Linked DNA regions of Oryzias latipes. The protein of the gene in region 3 purifies or fractionates together with the protein of the main gene of each other region. This does not show direct contact. Links are inferred from orthologs where the notes say so. Each region holds a gene or a part of one and is shown on either strand. Other genes may lie near its edges.

Region 1 (3,971 bases), on a different chromosome or scaffold from region 3:
GCAGGCCTGTAATTGCTCTAAGTAGAAGGAAAAGGTAGGAAACACTCAGGCTGCCTCCAGGCTTCTGGTCAAACCCCCCTCCTCCCACCCCCTTTCATCACTGGTTCTGGCAGAGTTTCTAAAAATGATAACTGCAAGCAAACAGACTTTTGTTCCACCCCTGCTGCAGAACGTGGAGAAAACACTTAATTTATCAGCATGGACCAAACCACAATCTGTCCTCAAGCTTAAGAGTAATCAGACACACCATGGTGCATCTCAAATCACTGGATCCCACCCAGACTGGGTGAAAAGAAAAGCTGTAATGTGTGGCTTTAAGAAAAAAAAAAAAAAAAAAAAAACTTCCTCCAAAACAACTTCCACCCTGCCTGCCTCCTTCTGCTTAAAGCCAAATGCAGGCAGCCTGCAGCCACGTCATCAGGCTCAGAGAGGACCGATTCAGTTCAGAGCCCACCTCTTTGGCTCGCCTGCAGCACAAACAGCTCCTTTTTTTTTTTTTTTTTTTTAAATGGAAAAAAAACACCACAGATTGCAGCTGTGAGGAAAATCTGGACAGTTTTATTAAGAAAAACAAGTTATAAAAATAAATACAGATAAAATCAAAAAGGGTTCACTTTGTTCAAACATTTCCAGATGGGTTTTTTCAGCATCTCTTTGGGTATCTGACACTTGAAATGCTAAAAGCACTATCAACTAATAACAGAGTGGTCTGTTTCTCTGCACACAGTCTTAACGGGGGGAAAGGTTTGGTCTGCAGATACAGAGATCTTAGGCATCATCCTCGTTCAGCAGCATGTTGGGGATTCCTTTGGTGATCGGGAACTCCCGTCCTGATTCAGGACACTTTAGACATCCCTCCATCACCTCCACCTGTGAGGCGGAGCGGAGAACAAAGGAAAAATGTAGCTGTAATTTAGAAACTACAACCAGTAGGCCACAAGCTCCCTGCTATACTCCATTCTGAAGCATCCACTTGCAGACGAACAGATCCATGTACTTCTTTATCCTCGTCTGAGCTGGAATCTGCCTCAAAGCTGGATAGTGTCAATATTGCTCACTATAGGTTTGGGTTGTGAGGGACTGTAAACTAGTGTGTAAGTGTAAAAACAGATGGATAATAGGAAGTGGGGGTAGGCTTACTCTGCACCAACAGCCCCCCCCACACACACACACAATTTAAGTGGTGAATTTCTAATGAACTCCTGCCGTTCTGCAGAAACTATGTTCTAGAAAACTACAGGTTTATTAATTTTGCTGAAAAATGGCACAATTATAATTAAACGGACACTGTGAACGCTTTAAAATAGATTAAGAGATAAACCGAGTTGGACTTTAAATAGGTTGTTTTGTTTAATGTGACATGCATGAAGCAGGCTCATCTGTCAAAAGCATAAAGCAGGTAACTCTGGGAGAAAGTGAGACACGTTCAGTAGATCAGTGTTTTTCAACCTTTTTTGAGCCACGGCACACTTTTTTTGAGCCCCCCCCCCCCGCAATCTCACGTGCATTTTTGCCGGAAGAGCAGGAAGTTGCGGCTGTTTTTTTCTAAGAGATGAAATGAAAGTTATATTAGAAAATTAAGAAACTGTTTGTTTGTTGTGGTTTCAAGACGTTTCACAAGGACAACTCGTTGTGCGCTGGGACACTGGCCCTTTAAGCCAATGCATCATGGGAGATGTAGTGTGAAAACTGCCGAAAAATTGCAGAAAGACTCGTGTCTCTGAGCTTCATTGTTTTGTTCACTTGTTCCACGGTCTGACACCGGACTCTGTGGAAAGCTACACCGCTAAAGACGAGCTTTAGCTGGTACTTTTGTTAGAACTGAGCGACTTTATCAGCAGAATTAAGAACAAGGAAGTGAAGACTTTAAGCACTTCTGATTGGTCAGACTGATGACATGTGATTAAGCCTTCAAGAATGATTGGCGGAGACAGTTAAATGGGCGGGACTTTTCCGCAAACTGTCATAGCTGCAGGTAAATCGCAGTACAGTCATTCTTATCAAAATGTCTTTAATAGAATTAAATAAACACAAAGAAAAAGTAATTTTAAGATCTTTTATATTCCTAACTACTCAGTGTTTTATCAGGGCCTGTTTGGATGAAAAAAGAGCTGATTTCCTGGAGATGAAAAATGTTTTTAGATCAGTTAATGAGGGCAATTTCCTACGGCACACTGGTTGAAATACACTGCAGTAGATTACCCTCTTTCATCGTCACTACTGGCTTTGATGCTGCTTAGACTTCAGACCAGACGGTGTTTACAGTTTTGCAGCGCAGAAGGAAAAGTAGAGGACAGTCAGCATAACTGCTGACTGATCAGGTTTGTTCAGTCAATCAGAAACTGGGCTCCTTCAATCCAGCTAATCACAAATACTGAAGCAGGGGTTAGCTGCGAAACAAGCAGGGCAATAGCTCACTGGGATCAGGTTTAGAGACTCCTAGGGGGTATTCCAGAAAGCATTTTTAAACTACCCTGACTTTAACCCTGAACTCTGGCTGAAATCCGCCTGAACTTGCTTACAGTACTCTGGGTATGTGGGTTCCAAAAGACCGAATATGAGTTACGCTCGACTTGGTTAATGCACGTGCACGGCAAGTACATAAAGACATTGTCAATGGATCGCCGATTTCCGGAGTCACAAAAGAGAGCGCTGTACTTTAGTGAGGCCGAGTCTGAGATTTTAATGACGGCGTATGAAGATTATAAGACCATCAAAAAAGTAACACGGCTGCATCATCAGCAAAAGAAAGTTTCTGCTTGGAGAAAAAGAACGGACAAAGTAAATGCACGAGTTTCTATCTCATTTCTATTTTCATTGTGACGCAAAATGCTCTTAAGGGAAATATATATATATTTATGTCTATCCAACTCAACAATTGTTTATAAAACTAAAATATACAAATAAAATTTACATATTTATCTAACTAAATGTCATAATAATCGAATTCAATTAAATGTTTTTCCATCTTAATTTCTTGTACTTCTGGAACTCTCATATGTCTAAGTTCGAGGCTGCAGATATTTTCATTTTTATAACATTGAAATAATTGATACAGTGTGGACTTGAAAATTACGACATCTAATCATTTATCATGACTCTGACTTTAACTTAACGTTTTGACACAAGTCAGCACTGCTTGTGCTAAATAAGCTACATAACCTCATCATCCTCTCCCTCTCTCTCACTCGTGTTGCAGAAAGAATTAAACATAACACGCATAAGAGGATAAAATAACTCGGCAAAACACAGTAAAACAGCTAAACAACTAAACACATTTGGTCAAAAACCCACACTTAAACCTAAATCCGTCCAGACAGACAAAGGGAATGGTTTCCCACAATTCCTTGCGGTGCCGATCTAACAGCAGCACCAAAGTTACACTTACTTAATTGAATTAATTTGAATGAAAGTAACATAACTGTCTGAAAACTATGTGTTATTTTTAAGTGAACTGAACTCAAAAAATGATTTATCTTAGCTGAAGCAAATAATTAAGTTAGATCAAAGTAAAAGTTTATATTTCCAACATCCATATGTGGTCTTATCACCCTCTCATGGTGGAAAAAGTATTATTATCTAAATCATCTTCAAATGGACACGGCATGCTGCTTCACCTCTCTGAAAACAAACTAACCTTCAACTAAACCTGCTCCAGACCAGGCTATGTTCAGCGCATGAGTTGCTATGGCAACTTGACCCTGAAACATACCTCCATTTTTGGAACCGAAAGCTGAGGTTATCAACTTCCTTAGCCTCAAAATTATCGTGGTAACTCACATAACCTGCTTTCTGGAATACCCCCCTGACTCTGCAGTCTGTCACATACCTCCAACAGCACTCTGTGTACTTTCTTCAGGAACTCTTCATTTTGCTCGTAATCTGCAATAAGTTCACCAGGCAGGTCCTGTCGATAACCCAACTATAAGAGGGAGAAAGAGGAAAACAATTAAACATATCAAAGCTACAAA
Region 2 (3,654 bases), on a different chromosome or scaffold from region 3:
TCCTGCAACACGATCTGCAGCAAAGCAACGACTCCACTGCAGGGCGGCAAATAAAAACCCTGATTTAGTCCATTTTCATGCAGAAAACAAGAGCTAAACTTGTGCCTTTGTGCTGTAACTCGAGTCATTTCTTCCAGTTCTGCGGGATGTTCGAATCGGAGCGAAGCTTTGGCGTTGCGCCGACGCCGCTGCCCCACATCCGGATACACGGGGTCGCAGCGAGAGCGGAGGAGGAGGAGGAGGATGATAGAAAGCACGACGCGAGCTCAAAGATCTGAGATCAAGAACAATTCAAGTAAGGCAACATGTTGACATGATGGAATGGATGCTGTGGTGGTGGTACAGTGATGAGGGCTCAGCTCCAGGTGATGCAAAGCTTCACTGTCAAAACCAGCACTGAAAACCTGAAACGGCCTAAAAGTCCCATGAAGAGACACCAGCCGCTTCCTGCGGAGCCGCCGTCAAAAGTCCCGCCCTCCTGAGGTGATCTGTAAACGTCAGTGCAAATGGAGAGTGGAAGAAGTGGCGGCGCCGCTGCGGTTGGCAATTTTACTCACATTCAGCCTGATCTCATTAGAAACTCTGTTTTCAGGCAGAAAAATACCAGCGGATTCATGAAAAAGAGTCCTCCTGGCCGCCCCGTCCAGCTGCCGGGGGAGCAGAAGGAACGTGGGCGGTGCTACAGATCGGCGTGGGACCCCTGCTCGCAGGGTGGAGGAGGCTGAAGCTTGCTCAGACATGGAGGGGGGAGGCTCATGGTACGGGATCTTCCAGTCACTCCAGAGCAGCTCCCGAAGCCCGTCTTGGTTCCGGCAGGTCCAAGTTGGAGGTCCAGCGACCCCCGTTTATCAGTCACAGTCGTCGGAGGGGTCACTGAAGGAGAAGAGAGGACGTTACCACCGAGCAGAGCGGCCGCCGTGCCGCCCAGAGGAATTATGGGAGGCAAAGGCAGCAGGAGCAGTGAGGACGAGAATAAAGATGGAAAGGGCACGAATGCGGGCAGCGCAGACCCCCCCGCCTCCGTCGCCACCCATGGATCCTCCCCCATGGCTTGAGGCAGATGAGAAGGCAGAAAAGAAGGAGCGAAGGAGTGCAGAAGTGTCGGGGGGAAGGCGGGGAGGCACTTACTTGTCCTCTGCGTTCTCGGGGAAGCCGGCGGCGGCCAGCGCAGCGCGGTACTGCAGCAGCACCCCCCGCACGCTCTTCACAAACCCCTTAGAGAGCGGGAAGAGCGGGAAGCCGATGTCGGGGTAACCGCTGCCCTCGGGGAGGAAACTCCGGTAGCTCTTCCTCCGTTTCTTTGGTCGCACCGTCGGCTGGCTTCCTGCAGACGCCACTCCCCCAGCGGGGCCCGAGCCCGCCTCCGAGGCGCCGCTCCGGACCGCCGCCTTGCTGTCCGCAGACAGGTAGCTGCTCCCCTGGGTGCTTTCGTAGTCCGAGGTGTGGCTGAGCTCCTGCTGAGCCGCGGGGCAGGAACTCTGCCACGAGTCCTCCAGCTCCTCCTCTATGATGCTGCTCACGCCGGCGCCAGACAGCGCCTCCCCCCCGAGCTTGCTGGGGCTGCTGTGGGCCACGGGGACGGACCCCGCGGGCAGCTGCTCCTCCACGGATGAAGCTCTGTCCCTAAAGTGGTGACTCCTGCAGGACGAGTGGCTCCTCTCCGCAGCCTCGTTCAGCTCAAGCCACGCCTCCAGGCGGTGCACCAGCCGCCAGCCGCTGGACACAAAGTGGTCCCGGATCTCCTGCCTGAAGACCTCCACGGGGTTCTGGAGGAGCTGCGTCATGGACTGAACCATCTTGATCAGAGCCATCTCGTTGTAGCAGCGGCTGTTCTCGTAGCCCTCCTGCAGACCTCGGTCGCTGTCGAAGCCGGCCTCGTTGTAGTACGGCTCGTTGACCAGAATGAGGCCTACGCACACGCACGCACACACACAAACACACACAAACACACACATGCATGAGACTCCAGAACGGCTCCAAAAGCAGAGTGTGGAGTGCGGCTAACCTTGTATGGAGATGAGGACCTGCAGCAGGCTGGACTTGCTGGTCCACCTCTCTGTGCCCTGAAACGCAGCACCCACAAAGCCGTCAGGGTGGGTTCAGAGGAGGAGCTACGAAGACCCCCCCTCCCCCCGCGCGCTCACCTTGCCGATCCAGGTGCCGAGCAGGCTGACGCAGACCTTGCCGTTGTCGTAGAGGTTGGGGTTGAGGCGCCCGCTGCACTGGGACAGGTACTGGAAAAGGGGCGGCACAGCGGGGTAGATGTTGGGCAGCTGGATGTCGAACAGGAAGACGCCGTCCTCGTACGGCGTCCGGGTCGGCCCTTTGATCAGAGCTGAAAACAGGTCCTGCACCGCGGAAAGAAATGAACCGAGCGACTGATTGTCATGGAAGATGTGCAAGTGGTTCTCCAGACTTAAAATAATCAAAAAGGTAAAAACAAGACGTCTAAATCTGAATCATGTTAACCCTTCAACACCTGAGCTTTAGCTCCAGCGTTAACGTGTTTTGAATGACCGTAGCTCTTCATCTGTTGACGCCATTGACGTTATTTCAACAGAATCTGAAAGAGTAAATGAGGATAATCCATCCATCCATCCATCCATCTTCCTCCGCTCATCTGGGTTGGGGTCATGGGGCAGCAGTCTAAACAAAGATGCCCAGACTTCCCTCTCCTCCCGAGGTGTTCCCTGTCAAGCAGGGAGACCTAGTCTACCAGCGTGTCCTGGGTCTTCCCGGGGCCTCCTCCCAGTGGGACATGCCCAGAACACCTCCCCAGGGAGGCATCCAGACCAGATGCCCAAGCCACCTCTCCTGCTCTCAGCCCCCCTACGGAGGACCTGGTTCTTTGGGTCATGACCCCAGAGCTCATGGCTATAGGTGAGAACTGGAACGAAGGGGAAATTCAGAGTTATGCTTTCTGGCTCAGCTCTCTCTTCCTCAACAACAGACTGACGCCAAACCATTCTGCCCGTCAATCTCATCTCTTCATGCTTGACCCCCCCACACACACACGGGGCAGGAACGCCCCACCCCCCCACAGAGGATAAACTAACTTTCTGCATTAAACTGGCCTCAGACTCGGCCACAGAATCCACTGGAATTACAGTAATAGCGGAAACGGCTAAATCTAGCTCGAATAGCGTGTCACTTCATGTCACCGACGACGTTTCCGGTGTTAAAGGGTTAAACCAGATTATTATACAAGTTATTTACATGCTGGAACATTAGAATCAAATCATTTTTCTAGCTAAAGACACACATCAGTTGCACCCAAACCATCACTCTCCCACCACTATGCCTGACAGTTAATATAAGGTTTTCTTTTGCGATACCAGAACGGTAAAGACGCCCACCATGCGGTCCTCAAAGGTTTTGACCATGATGCCGTCTGGCAGCGACGTCGCCAGCAGAGCCATTTCCTTCCTCACAGTGCTGAAAAACTTCTTCGCCTCCGCCGGCTGGAACTCCATCTTCTTGAAGGAGTGCGTTTCTGTTGGAGAAGAAAAATAACGATCAGGCAGATCCGGTTTTTGGTGGGAGAGTCCGACCTTACCAGAGAACCCACGGGCGGGTTTGACCAACTGTTTCATTCACTGAGATCAGAGCAGAATGAATAAACCCAGTTTATCTTCTCTGGTTTTGGTAAAAACC
Region 3 (2,469 bases):
TGGTTAGAAATGTCAAAAATACAGACTCCCTCTTATTTTAACTTGCAAAAATGAAAATTATTTTTATCATCAAATATTTTCACAAGAAAACACGTAAACCTAATCATAAGAGTCATTGCAGGGTATTGTATATGTTTCCTTAATTCTCAATAGGAGAATGTTGCAAAAGAAAACAATACAGACCCAATAAACTGGTAAGGAGGGTCAGTTATGTCCTGTTAAGGTGTCAGAACGTTATAAGTCGCAGTAAGTGAGCGTATATTTTTAAAACTTCATTTTCCTCATGCAGTGGGACCTCCTGTGTGTGGCTACTGTCTTCGATACCAGTTCCTCACATCAGCATCAATCCAGATTTCCACTTTGGTTCTATTCCCATTTAGTTTTATTCATGTGTCCGTCAGTGTTGGGTAAATTACTTGATTACTTTACTTAAGTGGATGAAATTGTAATTAATTTACTCATTCCTCAATTTAAAATGTCACTACTCGTTACTTTACTTTTTTCCCACTCACATAAAATTATTAAGGAAATAAAGCACGCACAAACAAGATACCCTTGTAAAATCCACTAAATAAAACCCTAAAGGCTACACAAGGGTTTTATTTAGCACCACCTCGTTAACTTCAACACGAGCATGAAAAAATGTACATTGAATAGGAGCCTACATAGTGTATAGATATAGGTTGCTCATTGACACTAGGGCAATGGAAAGCATTTCATCTCCAGGACATAACTTGCAGTTAACTGAAAACATTTTTGCCTTTGTTTTTAACAAATTGGAAATGATTTAAAAATTTGTCGAATGCCTCTACGTCCACGTTCATATTTGTGATCTCTTTGTCTCACTTTTACCAATCGCCAACTCTGCATTAGCGCGCATGTGTGCCTATTTGCACTAGTAACTCTTAAGGGTATCCGTTTTGTTTCATTTACACAAAAGACAATATCTTAGCCAACTGTTTACACAAATTATTTGGTTTTATTAGTCATCCATGGCTTCACTGCACCAAAAAGTAAGTCATGGAGTATTGAGGGTTTCTGTAGTCTAGTAATTGTAATTTGGCTTCTAATTGTTTTAAGCCTATTGTACAAAAAGTGCTTTATAAATAAAGCACTTTTTGTACAAGTGCTTTATAAATAAAGTTTGATTTCATCGATGTCTGTGTGTTGTTTCAAAATCTATCAAACTTTTCTCTGTTCTGAATTGCAGCTGGTGACATTTGAGCTCTGCTTTTTCTTAGTGAAGAAATCAAGTGGGTCTCATCCTCAAGTAAGCAGTCAAAATATCTTCATCTTTTTTGGTTTATCAATTTAAAAGACAAAAATGGTTTGAGTCTATGAAACTAAAAGAAGAATTGAATATTTCATAATTATTATTATAAACCCTTTTGATTTCACAGCTCAGTTTTGACACGTACACCTGTTAAATCCAAACAGAGTTAAATCTCACCCAATTTGGGAGAAACAAATTGCCAATCACTTGAACAAATAAGAAGCTGATTGGCTATAACAGCATCTCATGTTTGCACCTCATCCACTTGACTCAACAGAGTAGAAAAGTGCAATCAGGCTCCAGCGTTGACCGTGCGTGTGCTGGTTCAGACCAGAGATGATGACGGCATGAGCTGCATGAGTCAGAGCTAGAAGTGAGGTCTCCGCTGACGACCGGTGTACTTTGTATCCGCTCGAACCTCCCTGCAGGTCCAACAACACAGAGCAGGCTGTCAGCCACATAAAGGTGGAGCTTTCACATGTTTCTGTTACACAAACATCTACCGTGTAAAGGTTCAAAATGCTCTACTGATCATACCTTCCCTGTCTTCTTCTTCTCTCCTTTTTCTCCAAGATCCAATCTCGTCCCTTCTTCACTGATTTTCCTTTCATATTTTTAAATCGACACCTTCACAAAAACAAAAATAAATAAATAAATTGCAGGCAGTTAGAATCCTTCACCTGTTACCAAACTGAACGCCTGAACCACAGAATGTGAAAGGGAGGAAAATCTGCCTGAGAGTTCTGAACTCAGTCAGAACAACGGCCCTTTTTCTATTCTTTTGGTCTGGCTTCATCAGAAACACGTACGACTGAACGTGCTTCGACTGACGCCCGGACCTGGGGGGTGTTTTTCGGAACGCATGCTTTACATCTGTCAGAAGAACAAAAAAAATCTGCATTCAGCTTCAGTTTTTGTCCAAGTCCAAGTTTAGGAAAAGCTCCTCTTCAACCTACATTTATAGATAGATATGGAAATCAGCCACACAAAAATATGTAGAAAAAACAAAAGTAGTGTTCCCTCATTTACCACGGGAGTTACATTCTAGAACAAACAACCTCGTGATAGGTGAAATCCTCAACATGGTATAGATGTTTTAAGGCTGTAAATCCCCTCAGTACACATATGCACTTTTTTCAGATATTTTCAAACTTTTATCTCTTGTTTAAACTCTAAAAGTTCAAACCTTCAAAGAA

What was found.
Region 1: the proteins of bud23 (region 3) and trmt112 purify together in Homo sapiens (affinity purification with mass spectrometry; 5 studies listed by BioGRID and IntAct, counting the BioPlex papers as one, with this or other methods). This does not show direct contact. The link is inferred for Oryzias latipes from reciprocal best matches to the Homo sapiens genes BUD23 and TRMT112.
Region 2: the proteins of bud23 (region 3) and ube2o purify together in Homo sapiens (affinity purification with mass spectrometry; 5 studies listed by BioGRID and IntAct, counting the BioPlex papers as one, with this or other methods). This does not show direct contact. The link is inferred for Oryzias latipes from reciprocal best matches to the Homo sapiens genes BUD23 and UBE2O.

What each region holds. Positions count from the first base shown.
Region 1 is NC_019868.2:11,958,367-11,962,337, forward strand, and holds the end of trmt112 (multifunctional methyltransferase subunit TRM112-like protein), read right to left. Parts: intron 3,923-3,971; coding exon 3,830-3,922; intron 871-3,829; coding exon 769-870; 3' UTR 532-768; downstream 1-531. UniProt on the Homo sapiens protein: Acts as an activator of both rRNA/tRNA and protein methyltransferases. Together with methyltransferase BUD23, methylates the N(7) position of a guanine in 18S rRNA.
Region 2 is NC_019859.2:3,047,226-3,050,879, forward strand, and holds part of ube2o ((E3-independent) E2 ubiquitin-conjugating enzyme), read right to left. Parts: intron 3,494-3,654; coding exon 3,357-3,493; intron 2,349-3,356; coding exon 2,145-2,348; intron 2,064-2,144; coding exon 2,006-2,063; intron 1,910-2,005; coding exon 1,129-1,909; coding exon of another isoform or gene 1,125-1,128; exon of another isoform or gene 874-1,124; coding exon 849-873; 3' UTR 1-848. UniProt on the Homo sapiens protein: E2/E3 hybrid ubiquitin-protein ligase that displays both E2 and E3 ligase activities and mediates monoubiquitination of target proteins. Negatively regulates TRAF6-mediated NF-kappa-B activation independently of its E2 activity.
Region 3 is NC_019871.2:13,769,346-13,771,814, forward strand, and holds the end of bud23 (probable 18S rRNA (guanine-N(7))-methyltransferase), read right to left. Parts: intron 1,901-2,469; coding exon 1,811-1,900; intron 1,696-1,810; coding exon 1,641-1,695; 3' UTR 556-1,640; downstream 1-555.